Diceros bicornis minor: one gene and its partner. The protein of the gene in region 1 purifies or fractionates together with the protein of each later gene. This does not show direct contact. Links are inferred from orthologs where the notes say so. Each region holds a gene or a part of one and is shown on either strand. Other genes may lie near its edges.

Region 1 (10,234 bases):
TGTGCCTCTCAGAGTGAGAGGAGAAAGTTAAACAAGAACAGGTGTGCAGATCTCCCCGCACTGTGCCTCCCCGATACCATTATTGCTCAAAGTGCCATCTCCCCATTGTGGGAGAGGGTGGGGCTGGGCTCATCGAGCAGTTTCACCTACTAAGCCAAGTTAGTGACTTGCTCAAGGCCACGCAATGAGTCATGTGCGGACTCTGGGCTAGAACTTGGCTTTTCCAATCTGTGAGTCCCGAACACGTTCTCTCCATGCTGCTTCTCCTACTTGATACTAGAACGGCACTTTACAGTTTATGAAATATTTCCTCCCACATGATTTTCTAACACCCCTGGCTTCAGAGGCTCAGCATAGCCAGGTAGTTAGAGAGCATGGCCTCTGGTGTCAGACGAATCTGGGTTCAAATCCAGGCTCTGTCACTTCTTAACTGTGTGTCTTTGGGCAAGTCATCTAACCTCTGCGAACCTTGGTTTCTCCAACTGTAAAATGGGAATAATGACTTACTCTATGTATAAAGTAGGAACAAAGCTGGCAGATAGAAATAAAGCAAGAGTGAGGTCAATGCCTAGCACACAGTAAATACCGAATAAATGACGGCTGTTAGTATTAGTACTCAAAGAAGCTACCCTGGCAAAGCACTTAACACATAGGGTTAAGGGTGACAGAACGAAACAATTTCAGAGCCACCTTGCCGCACGCCCCAAGTGCTCCAAAGCAGTGGTTCTTAACTGGGGTGGGGAGAGTAATTTTGACCTCCCAGGGGACATGTGGTGGTGCCTGGAGACATCTTTAAATGTCACAACTGGGGAGGGGGGCTGTGCTACCCCTAGTGGGTGGAGGTCAGGGATGCTGCTAACCCCCTACAGCCCACAGGCAGCCCCACAACAGAGAACCATCTGGCCCAGACTGTCAGTGGAGCCCAGGATGAGAGACCCCGCTCTAAACTTAGCCTCCCTGTGCCAGACTTAGCTCCAGACGACAGTGCCATCCACCCTCCAGATACCAGGACAGCTTGCTGCTTTCCCAACCACGGGGTGAGTCATTTCATGAAGCTAAGGAACATTTAGCAAGGCGATAATCACCGTAATTTCCCTGTTGGGTAAGTCCAGATGGAAGTATATTTGGGGCCTTCTCAAAGACAGACACACCCAACATCAACAGACTCCATGGGGACCAAGGATGGTTCAAGAGATTTTGAAAGACCCGTCTAAATCCTCTTCCTCGGAGAAGGCTTCTGGGAACATTCCAGAGAATCTGCTCTCCCTGATCATGCATGAAAGGCATGAGCACAGAGACTGGCATCCAGTAAGCACTCAATAAATGCTAGCTATTATTATTATCATCATCATAGTCATTGTCCTCTTTATTACTATCTCCCCAGCTACATGCTCACGATAGCCTGAGATGGGTGATATTGTCCCCAGTCTGTAGGTGAGGAAACTGAGGCTCAGAGCCGTGATGCCACATTTGCCATCAGCCCCTCCCAACCTCACAGCTTCCACTCCTGCTCACCTATAGTCCCTTCTCCTCACAGACAGCAAAGGGCTCTTTCAAAGAGGAAATCAGATCTTATTTAGGAGAAGACGCTCTGTGGGTAATGATGTTATGTGATATTCTACGATCCAAAACTTCTTTATGATTTAAGAGTCTTGAAAAATTAAGAGCAATGCCACAGTGGTGTAAGATGTTACCATCAAGGGGAAACTGAGGGAAAGGTATATGGGAACTCTTTGTACTCTCTGTGCAACTTCTCCATAAATCTAAAATTATTTCAAAATAAAAAGCTTATTTAAAAAACTAATTAGATCATGTTACTCCTCTGCCTAAACCCTATAGTAATTTCCCATTAGGCTTAGAATATACTCTGAATGTCTTCCCGTGGCCACCAAGTGGTCTGGCCTTTGCCCACTTCTTCAACTTCCCCTCCTAACACCCTCCCTCTCACACAGCACTCCAGCCACTCTGGCCTTCTCTCCATTCCTCCAACTCTGGAAGATTATTCCTACCTCAGGGCCTTTGCACTTGCTGTTCCCTCTTTTGGGAATACTCTTCTGCTACGTAGTTCTTCCCAGGACTTTGCCTTTTCTCATCCTTCAGATCTTGACTCAAATGTCAAATCCTCAGAGTCCCTCTTGTCTGTGTTCACATGACCCCTTCTGATTCTCTCATAAAACTCACCACTCTCTGACATTATCTTCTTTAATTGGTTTCTCTGTTCCTATCTGTCTCCTCCACTAGACCAAGAGTTCCATGAGGGCAGGGACTATGCTGGTTTGCTCACTGCTGTGTCCCCAGCTTCTCATACAGAGTAAGGCCTCAATGAACATTTGCCAAGAGAGTACCAGCGTCTGCTGGTAATACCACAGGACGTTGAAATAAAGCTGTGGACTTTGTCAAAGGGCTTTCATCCACATTTTTTCCCATGGTTCCCTACTTTGTACAAAACCTCCAGAATACCCAGGTAGGTCCAGATTTGCTGACAAACCTTATCAACACCATTTCTTTGAATCATTTAACAATAATCCTAATGTTCATTAAATTTGGAAAAGGGAGGAGGAAGAGTTCACCCCCAACCTTCTAGAACAGAGCCCAGATATGCTTTGTTGGCCTCACACAGTATTTTAGAAGAATTTTGAGTTCATGACGAACTTTTTAAAATGGAAACATTTCACATAAAAATCCGTATGTTCAAGTTCTCCTGACAACTCAGAGGATCTGGCCACACTGGGCCCCAGTTTCCCACACGGCCCCAGTGGACTGAAAATGGGAAGTGGCCACTCCTTAGATGAGACTTGCGCTCTCCAGTTCACCACAGTACCTATCCACCTAGCTTAATTTTTTCATGCTATCCGCCTGGTCCCTTTAGTCACTGGGATTCCCCTCAAAGCCTAAAGTATCCTTAGAAATACTATTGTTTCACAAATATTTTAGCCACAGCCTCCATCTTCAAATTGTACATGGAAGGTCAATGTCTAAAACAGATAGTAGCAATAATAGTTAATATTGATGGAGTGCTTTCTGTGTGCCATGCTTCTGTTCGGTTGACTTGAGGGGTTGGGGACCAGAACCCCATCGGCTCCCCAGCATCTTCAGCGGCTCCCTAAGAAAGCTCTGTGGATCCAAGGAAGACAGTTCGAAAAGTACATTTTAATCCATTCTCCTCCTTTTACAGATAGGCAAACTGAGGCCTAGAAAGGGGAAAGGACATTCCACCGGGTAGACAGTAGCCTTTCTGGCAAATGCTTGTCTGCTGGTCCTTAGGGAGGCCACTAGTGTCAATAATGGCAGGAAAAGGCCAACAGGGGATCAGTTCTTTCCTCCGAGTTGTGTGCTGGTGCCTGGGAGCTGATCAGGACTACCCTCTGGGCTCACACCTCTCTCAGGCCCAGAGCCAGCTAATTCACTTAGGCACGTGCCAGCAAAACTGGACTCTGGAGTGGAGTAGCCCAGGGGAGAATGGTGTGTGAACAGAGGCCCTCCCCATGTCCCAGTCCTGTCTGAATTCCTCCGCCAGCCCTGATGGTGTCAACAGATGGTAACATACCTGCGATTTTGTATGGAAAATTACAGTGCTCTTCCTGTGGGTAGAGACACGCGGAGATCGTTCCACTGGGTTCCACATTTGTTCTGTGTCTAGTGTGTGCCAGGGTTGTGCTAGGTGCTAGGGATTCACAACCGTGATGTATTACATATGAACACAGGCTTTTGTTTCTGGCTGTCCTGAGTTCCAGCCCTGGCTCCGTAACTCACTAGCTGTGTGACCTTCAGCAAACAACCCAGCCTCTCTGCCTCTCACTTTCTTCATCTGTAAAATGGGTGTGATAGGAATAGGACATAGTTCCTAGGATTGTCTTGGGATAATTTTTGTCACACACTAAGACAATGAGTGCGGTGTTTTTTTTTTCCACCGCACTTATCAGAAGCTGATATTTTTATTTGCGTCTTTGTTTATTGTCTGTCTGGCTTACTAGAGAACTCTCCATGAGAGAAGGGCCTTGTCTATCTTGCTCACCCTTGCTTCTCCGCCTAGAACAATGCCTGGCACAGAGTAGGGGCTCCATAAATATTTGTCTGCTGAATGAATCTCTGTCTTTCATATTGCTGCTCTAACTGACTTTGCCATGATGCGGCCTGCTCGGGAGGAGCCCAAAGTCTCCCTGACTCCGGCAGAGCCACCCCGACCTTGACAGCCAGCCGTTCACAACAGCCCTGGGCATCGGCTCCGGATCAACTGGGCTCCGTGCCCAGGGCTGACAAGCGACACTTGTGTTTCTTCTGGTGGACAGAGCTGCAGCACGGGAGAGCGAGGTGGCGACCGGGGACAGTGGAGTGAGCCGCTCCGCCGCGCAAGGGGAGCCCCGGACCTCAACGCCCCGCACCCGCAGCAAGGAGCCCGCACCCGGCCCAGGCCGCCCCCGAGGATGGCTGCCCCGGTGGCGCAATCACCTCGATGGCATTCAGGGATAGGAATTCGTGCATCCTGTGCACCTTGAGAAACAAAACTAATTTCTCTGGGAAGGGAAAGGGCTTTGCAAACTGTAAAGCGCTGCAGGAAAAAAACCACATAAATGAAAAGGTCAGGAAGAGAGCAGATGTGTTTGCTGAGTGCAGGCTGCACTTCCAAACCCAGCTGAAGGCGACGCGCAGCCCCGGAGGTGGCACACTGGGGGACCTCCCGGAGAGGGATGCACTTGGAGGGCCAGGGTTTCCCCGCGTGTCTGCAGAAGCCAGGACCCGCCCGCGCTGTCTGCTCCTGCAAACTCGCTCCGCTCTCGCGGCCTCGAGCTGCGGCGCGCGCAATCTGCAAATTCTGCCTTTCTCTGCTGCACACGCTCGTTCACCTTTGTTCTGGCTAGAATCAGGGTAACTGTTCCGACGATTATATAACCTCCCGAGTTCAAGAGAGATAACCCCAAGATAAGGATGATGAAATTATTTTTTGAGGGTGAATTTAAAAAAATGTTTCTCCAAATGTAAAAGTTGCAGAAGCGCACAAAAGAATACATACAGATACCCATATTCCCACCACTCAGAATAAATGTTCACATTTTGATTTATCTGGGACAGGTCTTTTTTTTTTTAGTAGTAACCAAATAAACTTTTCCCTTCCCGCAAGTCCCGGCAAATCTGAATTCAAAATAAATCAACCCACTGCCCTCTATTCTCCCACTCCATCTTCACCCCAGATGTATCTTAAAGGGTGAACTCCAGGACCCCCGAATTCCCTCAGTGCGCTTCCAGACGGCCAGGTCTGCAAACATCTGGCCCCAACGAGCAGCGTCCGGCGAAGGCCGCCACCCTCGGAACGCACAGCGGCGTTTTCTCCCCGGTCCCCAACTCCCGCGTGCAACTTTGCTACTCACGCTCCCGCCAGGGGGCCTATTTGCTCGGCCCGTTTGGCGGAAGGATCCCGCGCGCGGTCGCGGTTACGCTCAACCGTCTCCTCCCCCTCCCCGCGCCCTGGCCCCGCCCCCTCCCGCGCGCCCTATGGCCCATAAAGAAGTCCCGGCCGGGCCGCTGCACTCCCCCGCGCGCATCCGTGCGCCGCCCGAGGCTGGCTCAGGAGTCGGCGGCCATCTTGTTCTTCTCGTGGTTCCAGTGGGGAGAGAAGGAGGAAGCAGGGAGCGGGGCGGTTGGGGGGGGACCCGCCGCGGCTGCTGCCACCGCCGCCACCACCGCCTCTGTGCTCGTGGCGTGGGAAGGGAGGTGTGAGTCCCGGGCGCGAGCCGGCGGCGGCGCCGCTGCGGGAGGGTCTGCGGCGGGAAGGCGATGGCGGATATAGATAAGCTCAACATCGACAGCATCATCCAACGGCTGCTGGAAGGTGACGGCGGCGGCGGGCGGCCCGGGGCTCGCGGGGAGGGGAGTTGGGGGCCGGTGGGGCTTGCGGCGCCGAGGAGGCTGAGCACGGCGAGTTGGGCTGCGGCCGGAGGGAGGCGGCGGGTCGCGCTCGGCCGGCCGGGGACCCTCGGACCCCGCTCATTCATTGCCCGGGTGCAGCCTCCCTGCTGGCCGGGAATTGGGCAACTCCGCTGCCCACTCGCTCGCTTCCGGGCCGTACCCCCTGCGCCCCGCGGCCCGGGCCGGTCCAGCCCCCGGACGGAGCGTCCCGCACTTTGTGGTCCTCGTCCTCTGCGAGAGCGGTCGGGGGGGGGGGGGGAGCTTCGTCCCCATCTCGCTCGGTTTTATTTTTTGTGGGGCTGGGGTCGGGGGGCCCACTTTGGTACTTGGTGACGAACGCTCCTGTCTCAAGGGGATGTTGGAACCCACCTGCCCCTGCCCTTCCAGATACTCTTTCCGAGTTGCCCCTGTCTTGAGATCTCCGCGCTCTTTTCTGAACGTGAAACCGGCGAAGATGACAGTTTCGTTCTCGTCTTTGCAACGTGCCAGGCTCTGTGTTAGCGCTTTGCGTTCATCGCATCGTTAAGAAGATAATAATAGCGCTTCTAAAGCGCCGTATGTCAGGCATTTTTTGAGCACTTTACACAGATTTCACTTAGTTCTGTCTGCAACCTTGCGAGGTTATTTTTTCCTGTTTTTCAGAGGAAACTAAGACGCAGGTGAAGTCACTTGTCCAAGGTCACACAGTTAGTGACAGTCAGGGTTCAGATCCAGGCAGCCAGCAGCTAGAACTCCTTCATCTCACCCTGTGTGTGAAGGAAGGAGATCTCCAGTGGTTAGGCAGAGGTCAAGTTAGAGCTTTCGTTCTGGCTGATTTAAGACTCGTGCGGTGCCTCGTAGTGATGCGGGGGACGGATGAAGTTCGGATTATGGAGAGGGGCGCTGAACCTAACTGCCCCCGGTTCCCGAGCCGCTCTGCTGATGCGAACGTCTTATTCGGAACTCGGGAAGAATTCAGATCCCTTTCTTGGTTTGGGCACTGAATAATGTAGATTTGACTGAATATTCACTGCCTTTTGCCTTTCTACTGTCCTAAATATTGTCGGAACAGAAATGCTGTGAGACGGAGTCGAGAGCGTTCACAGTTGGACAGCTGTGTCCTTAGAATTTGCAGATCTTTTGAAATAAGTTATTAAAATGAAACTCCTGAAAATATCTTTTCTTTATCTGTACAGGTTTTTTTCCTTTTATATTTTCTTGAAAGAAAAGAAGAACCCACTGAATGTACCCCTGAAATGCTCTTGAAATGTTGCTGCCATTTGTGGGTGAAAACCTTGTCATTCGTTCAGGAGCTGGCATTTATTATAAGAACCACACTTTTCACACTAGTTAATACAATTCTTTGATTTAGATGAGGCAGAAGTGGGTCTGAAACTGATTAAAACTATTTGCAATAAGAAAAGAACTTTTTATTAAATATTTTTATTTTAAACTTTTTAATTAGCTTCTGTGTCTCTGTGCAGGGATATGTATTGCTAGATTAGGGTAGGCTTTATTTCACTGAGAAACAGGAAAAATTGGATTCTGCATGGATTAGAAACATTACAGTTTTAAGATTAAAGTCTTGTTAAGTTTTGAGTTGCCCATAACTGTATTCGTGTAACAAATTTGGTTAATTTTGATCTTATTTTTTTCAATTGTGCTAAGGAATTTCCCTTGATAAACTTGGATCATATAAAAAATGAGATCTGTCATTGTTTCTTAATAGTTTCTCTCTATACGTGTTATGTTGCACTTGAAAAGCAGGTTTTTTTATATTTCATTTTTCATTGAAATTAATATAATAAAGCTGTGCATTTTCATGCCTTGGGAAAGGCTAGGTACACAATATACTTAAACTCCTTTTTTTCTCATCAGTGTTAAATTGGCAGAGAAATGGTTGAAGATGATCCATTGAGGATGTGTATATATCCAAGTTAGAAGATGTTGATCATAAATTCATGATTTTTGTAATGCCCCAAAAACCTTTTTCCCTAAAAATTTTTATTAAGATTTAAGTATATCTGAAAATGGAGAGAATGTGAGTTTTGTGACCTTGTTAGACTTTTTTACGTGTTCAAAATTGCCTCGTCTTCAAGTGGAGGACCGACCGTACAAGCTAGTTGAGAAGCAGCTCAGTAAGAGTACTAAAAAGCAACTCAAAGGCTTATTTAAGAAAGGTTTAGATTTTAGTCACTACAGCTTTGCGATTCTTTTCTGCTCTAAACTTTTAGTTTTTCCTCAACTAAAGGCGAGGCAACCCCTCCGCAACCCACCTTGGGAGCTTTTAACCAAGCTCTGCCTTGCTGAGGAGAAAACCCTAAGGTTGTTACTCCTTCATATAATTAATGTTCAGTTATTTCAGTAACTACACAGTAAAACTTGGGCGATTTAGAGAGAAAGTAAGCCAGCTGTTGATTTGGTCTGATATTCCTACACTGTTGGAGAAGAGTGAGATTTGGGGCAGTTTTACTTTGTAAGTGACCTTGTTCGGAGAGCACCGATGGCCGGCACTTTTCTTGCAAAGCAGGCGGTTGTAACTTACTTCACGTCCTGATTTGCAAGATGCCTCTTTGCTCTGAAGGTGACCATTGTCAGACTGCAAGACCATGCCAGGCTCTGCATAATCCTTGACTTGCCGGCCCTCGAACGTGTTTACTGATTTAATCCTCTGATCTGTAAGAGTTCATCTGAAGATAGTGAGTGTTGAAATGTTCTGAAAGTCTAAAATTGTTCGGGTAACCCATGTGCTTTTTAAAAGCTGAAGCTTTTTGGTGTAACGTGAAACAAGTTTATTTTCTAATGTTAAAATGACAGCAGTCTCTGGTCCTGAAGATAATAAGGGACAAACATAATGGCAAAGAAAAAAGTTCTTAAAATGCTGACCAAGGAAAACAAAAGTAATCTTTCCTAGTGAGACCTCTGCAATTGTTTTTTCTTTATACGCCTGATAATTTTAACAATTAGAGGCTTTTCTTGGGATCAGTTACCATAGGGCATTTTGTTCATAAAGACTGATATTAAAGTTGTGTGTTACTAATTCCTTAATTTAACAAGAAGTCTGTGGTGTGAGCCCCCTGCTCTTCCCTCCCCTCCCGCGTCAACTGTGTGCCGCATCCTTTCCTGTGATGTGAGACAGAAAAGCTCTTTTGGAGACAGATCTGCAGCTTGCACCAGTCCTAAACCACAGCAGGGAAAGGCTTGGTCTCCTTGTGCCGGCAGTCCCCCTGGCCCGTCAGGAGCAGGGGGCAGCAGTGAAATCCTTAGAACAGGATGGTTTGTGTCCTTCTGTTGTGCTTGAGAGAACGTTCGCCAAAGGCGCCGAGGCCAAGCTTTCCTCCTCCGCGTTGGGAAATGGAGGCAGTGCCGGGCCATGCATTAGTAGTCTGTCCACGGTAGAGTGGTGAAACTGTTTTCTGTCTTTGAGACTGCGGCCCTGTAATGACCTGCAACCTGTTCTGCAAAATCATGTGCCAGTGCTGGTCAGTCCGCTTGTCTTGTTAGGGTTGCAGAACTTGAAGCAGGGAGCTGATTGATAGTATGTGGACTTAGCCATTTCACTTCATTTACAGTCTACTGTTGGTAGACCTTAAAGATTGAGATGTGAAGGAGATAGTACTCTGATGTGAATTGCTCTGTGAATGAGGAACTTGGCAAGTCTTATTCAAGAGGAGTAAGGCAAGATTCCATCTCTTTGGAGTTCACAGAATTCTGGGACAAATTTTTATGTTTTAGGATCAGACCTCTGTATCCAAAGCACATAAGAACAGGTGATTTACCTAGGGGTCTTGATGACTTCCCTGAAGTCTCCAATTTCTCCACTCCTCTAGGGTTTACTGGCATCCCTTGTAAAGAGGGGAGTGGGTGTCACTGACTTTAAGGCTTACGAAAATGAAAACAACTCATAAAATGTAGGGGCAGATGTTGAGTCTGAGCAGTGGTATTTTATCAAAATGGGTGGTTAGACTGTGGAAAGTTAAACATTTCTCAATAAATTGGCTTCACTCTAGGTGTAGAAAACTCAAGATTCTTTATTGAGGGCGGTAGACAGTGTTTTGCAGGTATATGCTGACTATCTGCCTTGAGAAAATTGGTATTGCCTTTAAATGCCCAAAGTAGAACTCCAGCAGACAGGACAGTGAGCGTGGGGGAGGGGTGTGGAAACAATTAAGGCAGTCGGAAAGTGGAAGTCGTCCCACTGGTGACTTTGCAATGAAACCACATGATTCTGGACAACATTTTTGTGGCTTATGTTTTTTGTAGAAAAGAACTCAGTTGTTCGTGGGAAAGTTTTGATGTTCTGAATATTCACTGGTTTTTGTTTGTTTTGGTTTGAGATCTTATTTTGCTA
Region 2 (9,687 bases), on another chromosome or scaffold:
TCATCATGCCACATCTGATTTTTAGGAAACCCAAGTTTCTCTAACCATTCTCTTTATGGCTGTGAGTGACAACATGAGTTATTGGTCCTGGAAGACATTCGACTTGAGGCTTCTGTTACTTAAATTGGGAGCCAAGGTCAGGGGAGGCTGTGTATGTTCCATAGCTGCCTCTAAAACTGGGAATGGGACTATCTGCGAACAGCACTTCTAAGAGTGTTAACCACAAGTTGATTTTAATATGAGCCCTTTTTCATGTAGAGGTAAGAACTGAAATCTCTTCCTGACAAGGTGGTCCTCTTCTTAGGGCACAGATGATGGTCTTTTGGTTTTGGAGCTGGTTATTTATGAGGAATGACAACCATTGTCTAGTACCATGTCCTCTGGCAAGTAACCTTCCCTCTGTACAACTGCCAACAAGACGCTGACAATCTACTCAGGAGTGAATGTGTTAAAAGTATGCTCCTTGAGAGAACCCTTGCCACCTGAGTCAAGTTTGGACATCGGTGACCAGCTGTGACTCCTCCTGGGGTTGTGATTCTACTTGTCCGGCAGGCTGGATGATGGCGGAGGTCTGATCATGCGATAGGTACTACAGCAGGGAGAGGGACTACAGCAGATCACTGTTGGCAGACAAGGGGCTGGGCATTTCATTGTAAAACTCACTCTAGAGTGGTCCTATTTGATCTTCAGTATTTTAGCCTTTTTAGTTCATATTTGTAATTCAGCTTGCATACTGCTCCAGGACTGACCAAAGATGGGCAAAGTGTATCACTTTCTGGAAGACCAAATGGGCTCCCAACACTACTGATTCAGCATTGTTTCATGTATTAAATAGCCAGCTGTACTTTGTGTCTGCACTGTTATGTAGTGCATTTTAACTTAATTTTTTTCACAACATGTTATTTAAGGTGTATTATTGATAGTTCATTATAATTAGTCCTGTGTGAAACAGGATAAGTGTAAGGTGTAAAAATGATCTATCTGTGGTTGCCAATAAAATCATAATATTTTGTGTAGCTTCTCTGCAAAGACCTTAGAGACCCTTGGCTTTGGTTTATATATCTCTCTGGGTATTATCAGCCCATTTGATCCAGATCAGTATTTCCTCGAGCAATGTCTGGCCCCTGGCCTTTCTGCCTTTTCTCTGCCCCCTGCCCTGGATCAACTCAGCTTTGGTGGTGGTTTTTTCTCCCTGAAAAAATTCGCTAAAAAAGCGCCCCTCGGGCCGGCCCCGTGGCTTAGGGGTTAAGTGTGCACGCTCCGCTACTGGCGGCCCAGGTTCGGATCCCAGGCGCACACCGACGCACCGCTTCTCCAGCCATGCTCAGGCCGCATCCCACATACAGCAACTAGAAGGATGTGCAACTATGACATACAACTATCTACTGGGGCTTTGGGGGGGGCGGGGGGAGGAGGAAGATTGGCAATAGATGTTAGCTCAGAGCTGGTCTTCCTCAGCAAAAAGAGGAGGATTAGCATGGATGTTAGCTCAGGGCTGATCTTCCTCACACACACACACAAAAAAAGCACCCTTGGCATTATCATCCCATCTCGCTCAGTCCTACAGTCCCATCCCCACAGCAGATGTCACCACACATGCCACTTTTGGAATTGGCACTTTTAGATCCATTGTCTGGATATCATTTAGGGTGGGTAGTAACTGCTATAGTCATATGGCAGAGCCCTGGATCACCCCAGTATTATTTTTTTCTAATCCTCACAGAAACTAATTTGCACGAAAGCTTTGTGCTAGCGTCATGGGAAGCATTTTTGTTTGTGTCATCCTAATGTAATTCTTACTACTTGTAAGGCAGGACAATATTAGCCCCATTTTCTGGCTCAGGAAACTGAGCTGCAGAGAAGTGAAACATTTTGTCCAGGTTTACATGATGGAAGAGCTGGGGTTTGAACTCGGGTTGCCAGAATACCAATCCTATGAGCTTTATACTCTATCATGTTACCTCACTGTATCATGCTGCTTCTAAATCTTTTGTTCCTCTCTCTCCTTTATCCACCCTGTCACTCTGCCATCACTTTGGGGAAGAGAAGGTATTTTCCACATACCTGCCAGAAATTTCAGCTGCCAAAGGACTAGGCTGCAGGGAGATGGGCAGATAGCCATTGCTCTGCCAAGTTCTTCATGAAACTTAAAGATTTGTAGAGACAGAGACAATCCTGCCAGCATCCCAACAGTCAGATACCTGCTAGTCACTGATAGCATCTGCATCATAACTGAGGACAGAGCTCTGTCCTTGGCTTGGGGTGAGGCAGACAGGACGAGGGAGGAGAGGAGGAACAGTCAGCCCAGGTCTAAGGATATGCAAGAATAGAATGAAAAAGTCATGGATACGCATCCAATGAAAGTTCAGGGTCTGTTGTAAAAGTATTATCTGCAAAGCATTGTTAAAGATTTCTAAGGTGCTCTGCATTCATTCATTCATTATTGAGGGCCTACCAACTGTCTGGGCCAGGCTGGATGCTGAGGAAAGAGAGGAGTAAAACATACTCCCTGCCCTCAAGGAACACAATCTAGCTCAAGAGATAGCAAACCAATTGGAGGTTTGGGTAGCTTGCTAAAACTCAAATTGCTGGGTCAAATCCCTAGAGTTTTTTATTCATTAGCTCTGGGGTGGGGCCTGAGAACTTGCATTTCTAACAAGTACCCAGGTTTTGCTGATACTGCTGGTTTGGGGACCACTTTCAGAACCATTGATCCAAACCAACTAAGATGTTTTATAATAAAGGTAAGTACGGCTTGGATTGCTGAGGGAACACAGAAGGAAGAAATTAATTCTGCCTGGGAGAATTCTGGAGCGGCCTTGAAGGATGGATGGGATTTGGATAGGATTTTGCCTAGCTGCGGTGGAAGAGAAGAATAAAGTCACATGAAACAGCCTGGGTAAAGACCCCAGGGCTCAGAAGAAGTTGGATCTCTGCGCAGTTGAGCTAGCTGGAACCCAGAGGGTATGTGAAGGGTATGGAGGCGTCACAGGAACTGAAGGAAAGGTAGAAAGGAAAGGAGTGAGAGTTCAAACCTTGGTACAGAAAGCCAATGAAGGACTTCAAGCAGATAAGTGGTGGACTTAAGAGTTGTGTTTAGAGAAGTTTCTCAAAATAAGATCTATAGATCTTTATTTGGGCTGCACTCCAGACCTGAATTGGAATCTCTTGGACTGGAGATGCATCCTTAATAAGCAACCCAAGAAATTCTGACCCACACAAAAGTTGGAGGAGGGACTGGAGAAGAAAAAGAACTGAGACTGGATCAGAGCAGGTGGAAAAGGATAGAAAAGAAAATTTAAAAGACATAAGACTGGGCTGGCCTGGTGGTGCAGCAGTTAAGTTTGCGCGTTATGCTTCAGCGGCCCAGGGTTTGCCAGTTCAGGTCCTGGGTGCAGACCTACGCACCACTCATCAAGCCATGCTGAGGCGGTGTCCCACATAGAAGAGCCACAACTCTACAGCTATGTACTGGGGCTTTGGGGAGAAAAAAGAAAAAGAGGAAGACTGGCAACAGATGTTAGTGCAGGGTCAATCTTCTTCTTCAAAAAAAAAGACAAGGTAAAATTCACAGGATTTAGTTACTAATTTGATTTGGAGAGCTTTAGTTTGTGAGAAGAGTCCAAGGCAATTATAAGATTTCAGGGTTTGGTTTCTATTTTCCAAGAGAGAAACAGCAAAAGAGGCAGAAGCAGATATGGAGCCTGGGAGAAGACTATGGAAGTGGAAATGGACAGAGCAGTGTGGTGTAGTGACTGAGTTGGGAATGGGGAGGCCTGGCCCTGCACCACCAACCCTGTGACTTTGCTGCTCTAGAACTGTCCTCTCATCTTTGAGAGGCCAGAGTAGATGATCTCGGAGGTCTCTTCCAACTCTAAAATGTCATATTCCAAATTAAAGCAGAGAATATTTTAATTGAATATATAAATATAAGTACATAATTAGGGTGATAAACCATTGGAATAGGCTCCTGAGGGCTGCAGGGAAAGTTGGTCCTCGGAGAGCGTCAAGAAGAGAATTGATGAAACCCTGACTGTTCTCACATCTTGCCCAAGACCAATCCTACAGATTCTTCAATGTTCAGATGGGCTTTTTCTTTCTCTTGAACTTGGAAGACACCTAAAGAGCCATCTAAAAACACTCTTCCAGTGAGTGATGGGAAATAATTCAGTTTAAGAGCCAACTAAATCTGGGTTCAAATTTAGATTTGAATCCCACCTATGCTACTGATCAGGCTCAATCCCAGATAGGTAACTTATCCTCTCTGAATCTCAATTTCCTCATGCTAAATGGGAGGAAAATACCCACGATGCAGAGTTGTGAGAATTAAGTAGGCTGTCGACTTACCTGAAGTGCCTAGCATCTTGCCTGGCACAGAGCAGGTGCCCAGTATGGTGACGGAGTAAACAGTATGGGCTCCGGAGGACTGCCTGAGTCAGAGTCCCAGCTCCACCGCTTATTAGCTGTGGACTTTGGGCAAATCACTTAACCTCTCTAAGCCACAGTTTCTTCAACTGTAGAATGGAGATAATAGTACCTATCTCGTAGTGTTGTTATGAGGATCAAATGAGATGATATACGTAAGTAGATTAACTCGGCCTGGCACAGGGTAAGCAGCTGCCATTATCACCGTCATCGTCCTTCACCTCCCTCACTGCTTATTCTAGTCAGTAATGTCTACGACATCATCAGACTCTAAATGTTAGGGGCAAGTACCCTTGTTTGATTGATCTTCTTCTCTCCCTCCTTACGTCTAACAGTGCACAAGGTAGGAACTAATAAATGTCCTATTTTGTTCCCTGACTCTTCCAAGGCAAAAAAGTAAATTTCAAACTGTGTCCCCCTCCTGGCGCCAAAGAAAGGAACTACAACCAAGGGGGCAGTGGAGCAGCAGGACACACAAGCTTTCCTTCCTCTTCCCTCCCAACGCGGGAGACAGGACTTCTTTGCTCTTGTCTACTGGTAGAGCTGCTAGTTAAGTTTGATTTGAATAAATCAGCCGCCAGGCTCTGCTTTCCCCTCAGGAGCTTCTTCCGCCCACAACACAGACTCTGAGCGCCGCGCAAAAGGCGGGGCGAGACCTAAGGGGCGGAACCGGAAGTGAGATCCCCTCTCCCGGGGTGAAAGGTTAGCGGAAATATCGTTTTTTCCTTTCTGCGGTAGATTCGGGTGGTTGCTGTTGGTGAGTAGAGTCTTGCCCAGGGTATTCCAATCCGCCGCCATCCGCGGCCTCGGGGTCGAGTGGCGGGGCAGCGCTGGGTGCTTTCCGTTCCTCGGTGTCTGGCGGCTTCGTAACAGATCCCATTCTGCGAGCAGGGTCCGCAAGCAGCCTGGGCCAAGACGGCGGTGAGGGCAGCCTGAAGTTTCCGGACCACAGCCTCAGCTTGCGGGTTTCTGAGCGGCCCCTTCTCCTTCGTTTCTGCAGAAATGGGCAAGTTCATGAAACCCGGGAAGGTGGTGCTGGTTCTGGCTGGACGCTACTCCGGACGCAAAGCGGTCATCGTAAAGGTACCAGCCTCGCGAGCCTTTGCGCCCTCGTCTCCCGGGAATCGGGCCGGTTTCGGGGGCGGGCAAGCTTGGAATTCCAGGCCTAGTTTGGGGGCATTGCCCACTGAGCATTGCGAGTGGTGGTGGGGTGAGCGCATCAGAGCTTTTGAGAGAGGAAGATGCGAAATAAAAACAAATGTGAGTTGAATTGGGCAGCTAACTCATAAGTCGTCCTCTAGCAAAGAGGCTTCAAATAATGATAGTAGCCAGCGTTTATTGAACGCTTGCTTGGTGCCCAGCACTGCCTTAGGGGTGTTGTCGGGTCCATCCTGGCAGTAACCGTGGGGACTTCCTTTCTGCTGATGAAGTCTAGAGATGTTAGTAGTTCACCTGAGGTCAAACAGGTACTAAGTGCTGCAGCTGGGACGACTCTGCAAAGAGGAGACGTTGTTTCTAGTCAAAATGGTCACTCACCATATTCTAGCCCTTCACTGTTTGCCTTCTGCCTGCGTTCTGTAGCCTCGTGTGAGATCTCCCTAAGCTCTGGCCACGTACACCACTGCTTTTGGCTTTTGTGGGGTCACCGGGCACCCTTGCTTCCCCTTCCTCCACGTGAGGCTGGCTTCTGGAATTAGGCTGCCAGTGTGGGCCTCTCTACCTTACTAGCAGTGCAGTCGTGGAGGAAGTTAAGAGATGTACAGGCCTAAGAACCAGTGCTTGGCACACAGCAAGCACTCCATAAATGTTAACTGTTGTTTCTTTTATAATTTTATTTATTTATTTTTTTTCCCCCAAAGCCCCAGTAGATAGTTGTATGTCATAGCTGCACATCCTCCTAGTTGCTGTATGTGGAACGCAGCCTCAGCATGGCCGGAGAAGCGGTGCGTCAGTGCACGCCCGGGATCCGAACCCGGGTCACCAGCAGCGGAGCGCAGGCACTTAACCGCTAAACCCCGGGGCCGGCCCTGTTGTTTCTTTTAAATCTCTTATCTCCCAAGAGGCTTTCCAGAGTCTTCCTGGTGGGAATGAATACCACTCCTATCCCTGCTACTCTTTGGGCATTTAGCATAGCACTTAGAATGTCTGCTTTGTGTGGTTTTTGTAACAGTGGGTCTCAGAGACCTGGGGGTGGCCTATTTCTATACATGCCCTACATCTAGCACAGTTTAAATAGTCATTCGGTTAATAACTAATGTCATTCTTGGTCATTCAGAACATTGATGATGGCACCTCAGACCGCCCCTACAGCCATGCCCTGGTGGCTGGGATTGACCGCTATCCCCGCAAAGTGACAGCTGCCATGGGCAAGAAGAAAATTGCCAAGAGGTCAAAGATCAAGTCTTTTGTGAAAGTTTATAACTACAATCACCTCATGCCCACAAGGTGAGCCTTTCAAGCATGGTAATGCAAGTGACTTGATTTCTTTTCCCCCCTCTCTGCCCTACTGAATAAGGAGACAACCTTGTAGCCACTCCAATGTGGGAAAGAGACATCATTTTCCATTGGTCACTTATAAAGTGTTTGTGGTTTTCAGTGTTGCCTCTTTAATCCATCTTGGAACTGTTCCTGTCGTTTTCTGTAGTGACTTCCCTGACTTGGCCAAGCAGGATTGAAAAATCTCTTCCAAGCTTGTTCTTGATCTGTCTCTCTCCTCATCTGAAAATTTTCTAAGTGTTGATTAAAAATTGTTTCATTTGTTTCCATCCACAGTAAACATAGGCATAGGATCTGGCTTGCCGTCGTCCACTGTTCCACTCTCAAGGATAGTTGTTATAGGCTTTTTAAAATGTGGTAAATAAATGAAAGCAAGTTTCCGACAATTAATTCCAGTCAACCACTGGGCCCTTTAGTTCCTGGCCTTCCACAGTATTGTGTAGCATATGCACTATCTTGGTACAAGAGTTTTAAGGAAATACAAGATTAGAGAGACTCCTGGACAATAATTGCCAAAACGCAGCAGCACGCACTTTGAAAGTTTGCTCTCAGGGTGCATGTTGACCTTAATTTGCTGTTTCTCAGCTGCTGGAAAGCGGTGAGGCTGAGGCAGCTAGCCAGTCAGCTTTTGCATTGTCATAATGACATAGGCGTAGGCATAAGCAGAACTTGAACAACCCTAAATAAAACGGAAAGCTAGCCAGTAGTCATGATCATAGTCAAGAAGATCAAATAAAGTGATGGTTTTTAGATAGAAAAATAGAGTAGTTAATGGAAAATTGAGAATGAAATGTGAAGTTTTTCAGTGGTTTGAAACTATGTAAATGAGTCGCTTAAAATTGGAGATTTTCAAAGCGTATCATCAGGACTTCGGCACAGCTTTTGATGGTTGCTTCTATGGGGTCAGATCCTCTTACCCCAATGTCACAGGAGTACTTGGTGGGGAGGGGGTGAAGGCCCTGCCAGCGTGTGGGCTGCTCCCACCTCCCCACCGTTGTCCCCAGGTACTCTGTGGATATTCCCTTGGACAAAACTGTCGTCAACAAGGATGTCTTCAGAGACCCTGCTCTTAAACGCAAGGCCCGACGAGAGGCCAAGGTCAAGTTCGAGGAGAGGTAAGTAGGCTTTGGTAGTGGATGCTGGGGTATGGTTTCACTGTTCTCTCTGAAGTGAATTTTGTCTTGTTCCTCTCCTCATTGATGTCTTTTTTTCCCCCCTCTAGATACAAGACCGGCAAGAACAAATGGTTCTTCCAGAAGCTGCGGTTCTAGATCTGTTTTGTTTCAGTCATTAAAAATACAAAAAATCCCTGTCTGCCTGCTGCGTGTATTATTGACTGGGGCAGAGCATTCATATGATGAGACACTGGGTAGAGGATGAGGGGCTGTGGGGAAATATAAAGGCTTGATCTGCCTTTGTGAGACTTGGGCTACTTCTGTCCTCAGCCCCATAGGCTGCCCCTTGATAGGTAAAGTGTGATAACTGTTTTCCCAGAAGGGCTGCTCTTGACATCTTTAGGTGCAGGATTGTTTAGCATCCCTGGCTTCGGCCCATTACATACCAAGAGAACTCTCCCCCCACCCCGCCCCCATTGTGAAAACCAAAGGCCCCTCTGAGTAGGCATCAGCTGCTTTGGATTGAGAACCACTAACCTGAAGCTGTTTATTGAACCACAGAGTGCCAGCATCCCACCCTGTGACTTAGATTTAGCGGGTCAGAATTTCTAGCAACTTAGGTGATGCGAGGCTGCTCATGACCACACTAGAGAACTGCTCTAGATAATAGGGATGGGTGCCAATGACAAAAGCCTGAGCCCCAGAGCAGCCAGGGAGAAGTCCCCAAATGGCCTGGCTAGCAAAGGTTGGCAAGAAAGTGTGATTCAGGGGGCTTGGGCACTGGGTTTGTAACCACTGTGTTGCAGCAAAGGCGTTTGGCCTCTCTATCTGGGATTTTACCTTTAGATGCTTAACTGTGACCCTGTTGTACTGATGAGATAGGCACTCCAGCTGAGCTGGTTCTAAGTCACTAGATGGACCCAGGATTCAAACAGGCCTATTTATTAAGCCTTGCACTTGGCACACTTGCACCTGGGATGGGGGCTTGTTGAGAAAGGGGTTCAGTAAGTTCCTCGTAGTGGAAAAACCCTGGACTAAGTGAAAATAATAGAAAAATATGCACTGTTTTTTACACAGTTGCATTTGACTCTCACCGTTAAGTATTGGGCATCTCTACTGCAGTGGACTCCTGTTAGAGCTTGCCTACTCAACAGTCACAAATGGAACTGAACTTAAACCTTCCTCTGGCTAAAGATTCAGCAGGTTCCTTCCACTCTGCCTCAAGGTCCAAGTTCAAATACTGTTCCAACCCGGTTTTGATAAACACTTCACTTCCCATCAGTGTGATCTTGGACAAGTTCCTGTACTTATGTGTCTCAGAAGTTTAGAAGCTCATCTGTAAAATGGAGATAGAAACAGCTTCGTGGGGTTGTTTTGGAGTAGAGTAAATTCATGTAAAGCAGAACCCATATTGGGCACATAGCGTAGCTCTCAACAAATTCTGGCTATTTACTACGCCTTTGTGAACTTGAAGGGGCTTTATCTGTCCTGGTTGCATTTCTCATTCAATTATTAAAGTTCGCATGTGCCCAGCATCATTCTAGGCTCTAGGGAAAATACTCATTAACAAAGCAGACAAATCTACCAATGGGCTTGTGCTGGGATTGATAGGCTGGGAATGAATGGTCGATTGGAGCCAGAGTTGAGTTTG

The links.
Region 2: the proteins of PPP1CC (region 1) and RPL27 purify together in Homo sapiens (affinity purification with mass spectrometry; 3 studies listed by BioGRID and IntAct, with this or other methods). This does not show direct contact. The link is inferred for Diceros bicornis minor from reciprocal best matches to the Homo sapiens genes PPP1CC and RPL27.

What each region holds. Positions count from the first base shown.
Region 1 is NC_080774.1:9,195,408-9,205,641, reverse strand, and holds the start of PPP1CC (serine/threonine-protein phosphatase PP1-gamma catalytic subunit), read left to right. Parts: upstream 1-5,622; 5' UTR 5,623-5,772; coding exon 5,773-5,827; intron 5,828-10,234. UniProt on the Homo sapiens protein: Protein phosphatase that associates with over 200 regulatory proteins to form highly specific holoenzymes which dephosphorylate hundreds of biological targets.
Region 2 is NC_080757.1:41,955,731-41,965,417, forward strand, and holds RPL27 (large ribosomal subunit protein eL27), read left to right. Parts: upstream 1-5,207; 5' UTR 5,208-5,427; coding exon 5,428-5,508; intron 5,509-6,700; coding exon 6,701-6,870; intron 6,871-7,925; coding exon 7,926-8,036; intron 8,037-8,143; coding exon 8,144-8,192; 3' UTR 8,193-8,231; downstream 8,232-9,687.